2 linked regions of the Arabidopsis thaliana genome follow. The protein of the gene in region 2 interacts with the protein of the main gene of each other region in a pairwise test. Each region holds a gene or a part of one and is shown on either strand. Other genes may lie near its edges.

Region 1 (3,128 bases), on a different chromosome or scaffold from region 2:
TATACTTCAACACAAACTAGTAGATCTTAAATTTTAAGTTGATTACATTATGACCAACATGATCTATAGGAAATAATATATGTATAGAAAAGAGAAAAACTGATAGTGATAAATAGGATATTGATAAGCAAGTAGTTGATAAGCATTGACTTCCTCCATAAGTCATAGTCAGGATGGAGTGGTACGACATATCGTACATTTTTCTCATTTATCAAATTGGTTATAGTTATATATTTTATATAATTTTAATGTATAGTTGCCATTTAAATATCGTGCGTCTTTAATATAAAACGAAAGCGCTAATTTGTCGTTTACTCAATCGTTAATCTAATTAAATCATGTCAACGTTAGCTTAAGAGTACTTTGGTAGGTATTTGGTTCTTCTACTATTTCAGCGGCCATGGTACAGGCATGTCTCGGCCTACCAATGGGTGTTATTTCCTTACACATTTTTGGGCTACACTCATGCACAAATACATCTCTATTGTATGCAGTTCGAGTAAATTTATCTGTTTAGTTATTTTTTCGTGTAATCTGATCAATAAACAGGTTATAAGATGAGAAATCAAATATATTTGTTAATAAAAATTTTATACGAATATTTTACATAAATAATCGGCTAAGTTACTTTTACTATTTTAAAAGTCTATGTGTGTGTCTGATTGGCGAATATAAACGAGTTATTAAAAATAAAGGTAGGAATGTTGTACTTTTGGTTCATTTAAAAAAAAAAAAATCATTTTCGCTCTATCTTGAATTTTGATTTTAAACTACGAAATGTATATAAAGATACATTTTTAGTTTTTTTAATAAAGATATAAAGATATATTTTCATTGATTAAACTACTAATATATACATCCAACATTCTTATATTATATATACTTATATATGTAATTTATAGATATTTTGTCGCATATCTGTTAGCTTTATATGTTACGTGCAGAATAAACAAAACTAGGCGGCGTTAAATTATGTTTGTATAGGCTTGGTGTTTCTTATATAACCTTTGATTATAGATTCGTTGGTTGGCACTATGAAAGCGAGTGTCAAAGAAAAAAGATAGTATATGAATCGCGTCATTAAGTTGAAATAACAAAGGCTTTAATCAAAAGATTGAAAATTTAGAAAAGAAAAGGAAAAAATCAAAGATTGAAGCTGACCATCTCATGTAATTATTCAAGTTGTCTCACTAAGTCCACAATGTCAGCAATCAAAAATTATCCTTTGATCTACTACAGGTATTTTTCACACGCTAGCTACCCTTCTGACGAAACTGAAATAAGTAACAAAATAAAAACATTCAACTGCTATCTATTATAACAAAACCAAATGATTCAAATATGTAATTCATGTCTAGATAAATTTTACTGTGTATATTTATGGATATTGGTTTGCATAGGTTGTGAAAAGAGCGTGGGCTAACGCAAATCGACGACATAAATTCTCGAATTTTTATTAGGATGGAATTATAAATTAGATTTTATTGATTGTAACAAAGTGTTTTTTATAAAAAAGAAGATGGTGAGGCTAAATAAGGAGTAATAAATGGAAGCAATGAGACCAATTGACACGTTGTTATTAGTGTAAGCAAATGTCAACGCTTCGTTTGTCCATTTATAAAACCTAACTACTTCTTCTTCTTCTTCTTCCCAAATCATCAAACTCCATTTCACTTTCACTATGAAGCTTGTCTGGTCGCCGGAAACTGCTTCTGACGCCTACATCGACACCGTTAAATCGGTATGCCTTTTAACTAGATTACATATGTGTGTAAATACATGCTTTTTTTATATAATCTTTATTTGATTTTGCATGTAAATATATGTGTGTATAGTGTAAGAGCGACAAAGAGTCAGGAGTGGCAGAATTTTTATCAGCTACAGCGGCTGGATGGAACGCGAGGCTGATCGTTGAGACATGGTCACGCGGCGATCCAATCACGACTAGCGTCGGACTCGCGGTTGCTGCAACTCACACGGGTGGAAGACACGTGTGTATAGTACCTGACGAGCAATCTAAACTTGAGTACGTGTTGGCCATGAGAGGATTTGTTACGACGGAGGTTGTGGTGGTCGGAGAATCTGTTGAGAACACGATGGAGGAGTTTCCCGGTGTGGATTTCTTGGTGGTGGACTCGAAGCGGCGAGAGTTCGTCAGAACGCTGAGGTTTGCGAAGCTGAGCAACAAGGGTGCCGTTTTGGTGTGTAAAAACGCCATGCATAGAGCAATCTCTGGTTTTAAATGGCACGATGTGTTGAAAAGAGGAACACGTGTGGTGAGATCCGTGTTTTTACCGGTTGGTAGTGGGTTGGATATTGTACACGTGGGAGCTACTGGTCGTGGGGACTCGAGGAATCTTCGTAGCCGTTGGATTAGACACGTGGATCATCTGTCGGGAGAGGAGCATTTGTTCAGACGCTAAATTTGGATTTCCTCTTTTACCCTTTTTCCACCACTTCATTGTAGAGATGTATAAATACGTTAACAAAGCTTGAATAATTTTACTTTTCCCATAATCAAAAGTCTAATACTGTATGTATGTTGTGTTTTTACACGAATGTAAAATATTGCCAATTACTACAACTTCAAAACAACTACAAAATTATTTGATTTACACGCACATAGATTGATATATGGTTTTCTGATGATTCATTCAATGTTGATTCGAACAACCTTCTTAGCTCCAGTTGCAGATCGGCTCGAACCAGTCTGACTTTGGTCTGTTTGGCGACGAATTTGGTCAAGAGATGGAAGTACCCACCCTCCAAAACTATTATCAGAGCCTGTAACATTGTACAGTAACAAAAACAATACAGTATAATGGACTGAAACTCTTGAGATCAAAGATTAGTTTTGAGATGAAGAGTTTACTAACCAGTGAATTCATGCTTGCCAAGAGATGAATTGCCTTTCCATGCTTCTTCAAAGCCACTTAATTCATCTAAAACAAAAAAATTAAAGAAACGATCTTTTAGAATCCTGCCAGTTTTCTTTCAAAGAACTTTAAGTTATGATAAGGCTGTGTAGATTCTGCAGGACCTTCATCGAGGTTGTGAAGAGTCTGTGTCGACTCTACACCACCACTTGAGTTGAGCTTCCTAGTAACTGAATGACCCTGAATACACCA
Region 2 (4,988 bases):
CGAAGACTCACTGATTCAAGTGACGCCCTCCAATTTCAAGAGCTGCAACACCAAAGACCCAATCTTGTACATGAACGACGGCAACTCTCTCTTCAACCTCACCCAAAACGGAACCCTATACTTCACAAGTGCAAACCCCGGCCACTGTACCAAGTACCAGAAGCTCCTAGTCTCCGTCGGCACCTACTCCGCCGAAGCAGAGGCCTTGTCTCCGTCTTCTGCCGCCGACGCTCCCTCTTACCAAAACGCCTTCGGGTCCATTCCTCTCTCTCAGAAATCGTCTGCTTCCTCCTCGCTCATTTCTGCTTTCTCCACTGTCGCTGCTTCGCTGGCTTGCGCTGTCGTCGGTGCAATCATGTGATGGAATTTTTGAATATCTTTATTTATTAAAGCAAACAGTCATTGCTTCTTTTTTGTTTTGTTTTTGTTATCATCTCTTAATTATTTATTCTTCTTCATTGGCTCCTATCTTTTTATATCTCGAAAATGAATTTGCCAATTTTCTAAACTATTAACAGATATGTACACACAATGACACAATCCATATAGTTCTAAATTTTGAATTAGCGTCAAATACATTTCATTCTTTCAATCTGTGATTCCTGATGCAATGCATATTTTTACATGTAACCAAAAGCTACGAGAAATGAAATAAAAGGCAAAGAAACAAAACAAAAAGTTGAGTAAATCCCAAAACTGTGGCTACGTTAAATGAAATGAAGGAATCATCAACTCAGCTTCATCCACTTCCGTTTCGCCTTCTCTATAGCTTCCTCTTTCATTCTAAGCAGTCGTTGACACGATTGGTTATATTGTGACTCTATCACATTCAGCTCCGTCTTCAGATCCTCCGACTGCTTGTTTGACACCATTGAGCATGAATCCAGAAACGAGGACAACAATGACTCTACTGCCTCGCAGCAGCAGCCGAGCCGTGACCCCTCGTTTGAGGAGACCCGATGGTAGTAGTCCGCTGATATCTCTGACTTCATTGATTCTCCAGCTTCTTCATCCTTGGACTGATATACACTGTTTGCATTAGGCAGGCTTCGATTAGCCTTCAGCTTCATTATCAGTTCATCTATCATCTCAGCTATCACAGTAACCTCATGGCTTGACAGATCAAGCTCTTCAACCATCTCCCCTGTAACTGCTCTTGCTGTGTCTGTCTTCAGATTGAAGTCAAAATCAACTTTTCTCGCTTGACCTGATATAAAATTTATACTGTCATTAAGCAATTCGAAAATATGCAAGAGAAGAGAAAAAGAAAATGGCCATAAGATATCGTGAAACAGACCAGATGAGCCCGCGATCCGCAGAGCCATTGATGCTGCCACATCATCTCTCCTCTCTCCACTCAGCTTGAATTCGGTACTTTCAGCAACCCTCTGGACTTCCATGGTCTGGAGCAATGCGCATTCTTGGCTGCTTTTAGCAGAAGAGCAGATGGAAACACTTGTATTCTTCTTATATTCAACATCCATAGGACGATATTCACACTGTGGTGGCATTGCAGGTTTGAATGTTGTGTTTGATGAAGCAGTAAGAGTGGAGTCCTTGGCGCCATCTACTGCAAGGAGTTGGTCCTTCAGGAGCTCTAGAGCAGTTGGTCTAGAAGGAGCTGGGAGAAGACACTTCTCTATGAATTGCTTAACTTGAGGATCATCAACTTTGCTGAGAGATTGAGGTTTTATACCCTGCTAATGCAACAATGGTCAAGGACGATCCCTGTGTCGAAGAGAAATGTAAGACTTATATATATCAGGTCAGACTTACCGAGGTAACCTTCTTGTATATTTGAGCCTGGTTTCTGCATTCTCTGTATGGATATTCACATGTTACCATCTCCAACATGCACATGCCAAAAGAATAGATGTCGACAAGTTCATTATATTCTTCTTCATAAAGCTCAGGCGCCATGAATTCAGGAGTGCCTGAAAAACATACTCAATATATTCAGTTCTAGAAAAGCTTATCCTAAAACCAACAAGACTTAAAGAGGTTTTAATAGTATTATTACCAATCACACTTCGAGCAGTGGGTTGCTGCATCACAGCAGCGAGCCCAAGATCTCCAATTTTGACCTTTCCGGTATTTCCATTGACAAAAATATTGTCGCACTTAAGGTCACGGTGAATTACAGGAGGGGTCTGAGAATGCAAATAGTGCAGGCCTTTAAGAATCTGCCTTGCCCAGTTCATGATGGCCTTGGGATCAACTTTGCGGTGCTTCTTGCGATAACTTTGGACCAAGAGAAATGACAATCAATGGAAAGGCAGACGTAGATATATTATAAGAGATAATGAAAAGAGAAGAAGAGAGGAGAGGAGTAAGTAGACATACAGGGTGAGACTACCAGAGGTGAAAAGCTCAGTGATCATGTTGATGGACTTGTTATGATCATCAACCCAAGAGTAGAAGAGTTTGATGATGTTATCATGTTTAAGGGAATTGAGGAGATGGACTTCGGAATATAGCCTATCAAGTTGGCCAGGCATCTGCAAGACATCTTCAATGCTCATGAGGTTCCAAGCAACTTCAATACCTTCGACTTCATCAAATGCCTTATATCTACACGCGGCGAGGTAACAACAACAACAAGAGATGAGAAAAATACTTAAAAAGCAATCAGAGTAACATAGGCACTGCAATGAAAAAGTAAAGGACGTATAAACAAACAAACATACACAGTTTTGAAGGCTCCTCTCCCGAGAACGTCATTATACTGAAGAAAGAAAGAAGAAGATTGTTATCCTAAAGTGACCTTCCAAGCCATTAACGTAGCTATTACTTATATAAATCTTATCGAGGAAAAGTCTATAGATTGACATTGTTATCCTAGAAACCATGGAAATTGCAGATAGCGTCGTACCCTAATGTAGCGACCAGTGGGATCTTTCTGGACGAAGTCAGCCTCTTCCATGGCAGATATTCTAACCTAATGATACTAATAATCCGGAAGCAGAAGAAGAAGAAGAAGAAAGGAGGGATGATGATTGGTGGTTACAGAAGGGTGAGGAGATGGAAGGAGATTGGATCGGAGAAGGCCTCACGGGCGAAGCAATAGGAGTCGATCGCCGATCGGAATCGAGATCGGGAACAGAGGAGTGTGGCGGCCATCTCCGAGATGATGACGGTGGTGAGATGGTTCTGCGTTTGTGTCAGCGTCGTGTCTCTTATTATTGTTATTGGATAGAAGAAGAAGAGCATCTCCTCCATTCATCAACCATCCACCATTGCTTTTAGACAACGACCGATGAAGAAGCTTCAATTTCGCCACCAAATTTCACAAATATCAACAAAAATCAATTTCTCTCTCTCTCTCGAAACCCTAAAAACAGATTGAGGATTTGATCTTTGTTCAACTTTTTATTTATATACAGTGTCTCCCCTTTATCCTCGTCAAGGATAACGGGCATCTATTTTCTGATTCAGTCAGTTAACTGTTATCCACCCAAAACGGTGTCGTTACGTTCCTTTTTTCTTTAAATGGGCCTTCTTTCTTTGTCTTAGTCAATGTTTTAAAGCCCATACAATCTTCTTCTTTTTTTTCCACGAGCCCATACAATCTTCTTTGATGTAATGTTACTACTATTTATCAACAGATTCTTGTGTTGTTGTTGTAACAAAAAGAAAGAAAATCAAAGTGGTAGGTATTATACTATGATAATAAATCATCATGTTTGGTGTGGTGTTGAAAGAGCTGAACAAGTGAGTACAAGACTTGAATCCTTGTGACTTGTGGCTTTGCCTGTACGATGAAGTGTGCCCATATTTGTCCTTTTCTTGTTTCCATCACTCCTTTCAATATCTTCAATCCCAATCCTCTCACCACTTGTCCTATCTCCAAGAACTCCTCTCTTTCCTCACACACCATCTCTATCTGCATTTCTCCTTCCCTGTTCAATTCCTCCACCATTATCGGACATACCACTCCTTCTTCCCCCACTTCCAACGCCCATGTTCTCTCTTTCTCCTTCACCAGCTGATAAACATCATTCACTCATCAATACTCAAACACTTGTGTACTTACTGAATGGATATATTTGATTCATTACCTTAGACTCGTATGGTTGTTTGAGTCTCTCTGCATACTTGGCGAGGCTTTGCATGAACACCATGTGTTTTATGGTCAGATCCAGCAACGTATCTATGCTACACTGTTTAAATATATATCGAAACTTATTAGAGAATGCATTTGTTAATCTATAATTTGGATGCCCTAAACTAAACTATATTATTATTCAATTTACCTTAGCTCCATTTGGAATCATCCCTCGCAACTCCTTGATACGGTCTTGTATCATCTGACGGTCCTTAGGCCTCGGCCTCCTGCTTTCTCCTGCCTTTGCTCTTTTCTTCTTCACACCTTCTTCGTGAGGCTTCTTCCAGTTCCCTCCAATACTTGATCTCTCATCATCATCAATCCACAAACTCCGACTTGTTACTGTCTCCTCCTGAGGGAACAAGCTTGAGCTATGCGCCGATGATGTATCAAGCTTCCGTCTTTTGCTCTGGTTCACACCAGAGTACTCTTGCACGTTCGTGAGAGAACTACTACAAGTGTTGTTGCTAAGACTGCTGCTTATGAGCTCTGAGAAGAGTCCTTTAGGTGGCAAAGCCATTGTAGGCGTTTGAGAATTCATCCCCAAAATGTCGAAAAGATCCTTGTCAACTCCTTGGATCACCATGGAAGAGCAGTTCTGTTCTGGTGGATCAGCGAGCAGCTGGTATAGATCGTCCAGAGAGTAAGACTGGAGAATGTCGAACCCATAATCATCTCCATTGGTCAGATCTTGGTTGGAAGAAGCTGCTTCAGAGGAGATCATCTCAGGGCTGAGCAAAGAAGGAGGATTGTCCTCAGCGAAGATGTCATCAAAGCTAAATCCTTGAAAAGATTCAGCTGGGAAAATCTCACAATCTCCCAGTGACTCAAACAGAGTATCGAGATCACCGGAATCATGTGGCTTTAAACACGTCTCCTGGAG

The links.
Region 1: the proteins of WNK10 (region 2) and AT2G45360 interact in a two-hybrid assay, tested with the Arabidopsis thaliana proteins (one large-scale study listed by BioGRID).

What each region holds. Positions count from the first base shown.
Region 1 is NC_003071.7:18,696,938-18,700,065, forward strand, and holds AT2G45360 (ankyrin repeat/KH domain protein (DUF1442)), read left to right. Parts: upstream 1-1,654; 5' UTR 1,655-1,681; coding exon 1,682-1,741; intron 1,742-1,835; coding exon 1,836-2,423; 3' UTR 2,424-2,577; downstream 2,578-3,128. Other genes in the region: AT2G45380 (myeloid leukemia factor), read right to left, coding at 2,651-2,784, 2,877-2,942, 3,041-3,116.
Region 2 is NC_003070.9:24,017,855-24,022,842, reverse strand, and holds WNK10 (with no lysine (K) kinase 10), read right to left. Parts: upstream 3,354-4,988; 5' UTR 3,260-3,353; coding exon of another isoform or gene 3,257-3,259; 5' UTR 2,924-3,256; coding exon 2,873-2,923; intron 2,726-2,872; coding exon 2,688-2,725; intron 2,572-2,687; coding exon 2,344-2,571; intron 2,242-2,343; coding exon 2,021-2,241; intron 1,935-2,020; coding exon 1,777-1,934; intron 1,698-1,776; coding exon 1,298-1,697; intron 1,208-1,297; coding exon 729-1,207; 3' UTR 533-728; downstream 1-532. Other genes in the region: ENODL8 (early nodulin-like protein 8), read left to right, coding at 1-361; AT1G64625 (Serine/threonine-protein kinase WNK (With No Lysine)-like protein), read right to left, coding at 3,662-3,985, 4,059-4,160, 4,254-4,988. UniProt on the Arabidopsis thaliana protein: May regulate flowering time by modulating the photoperiod pathway.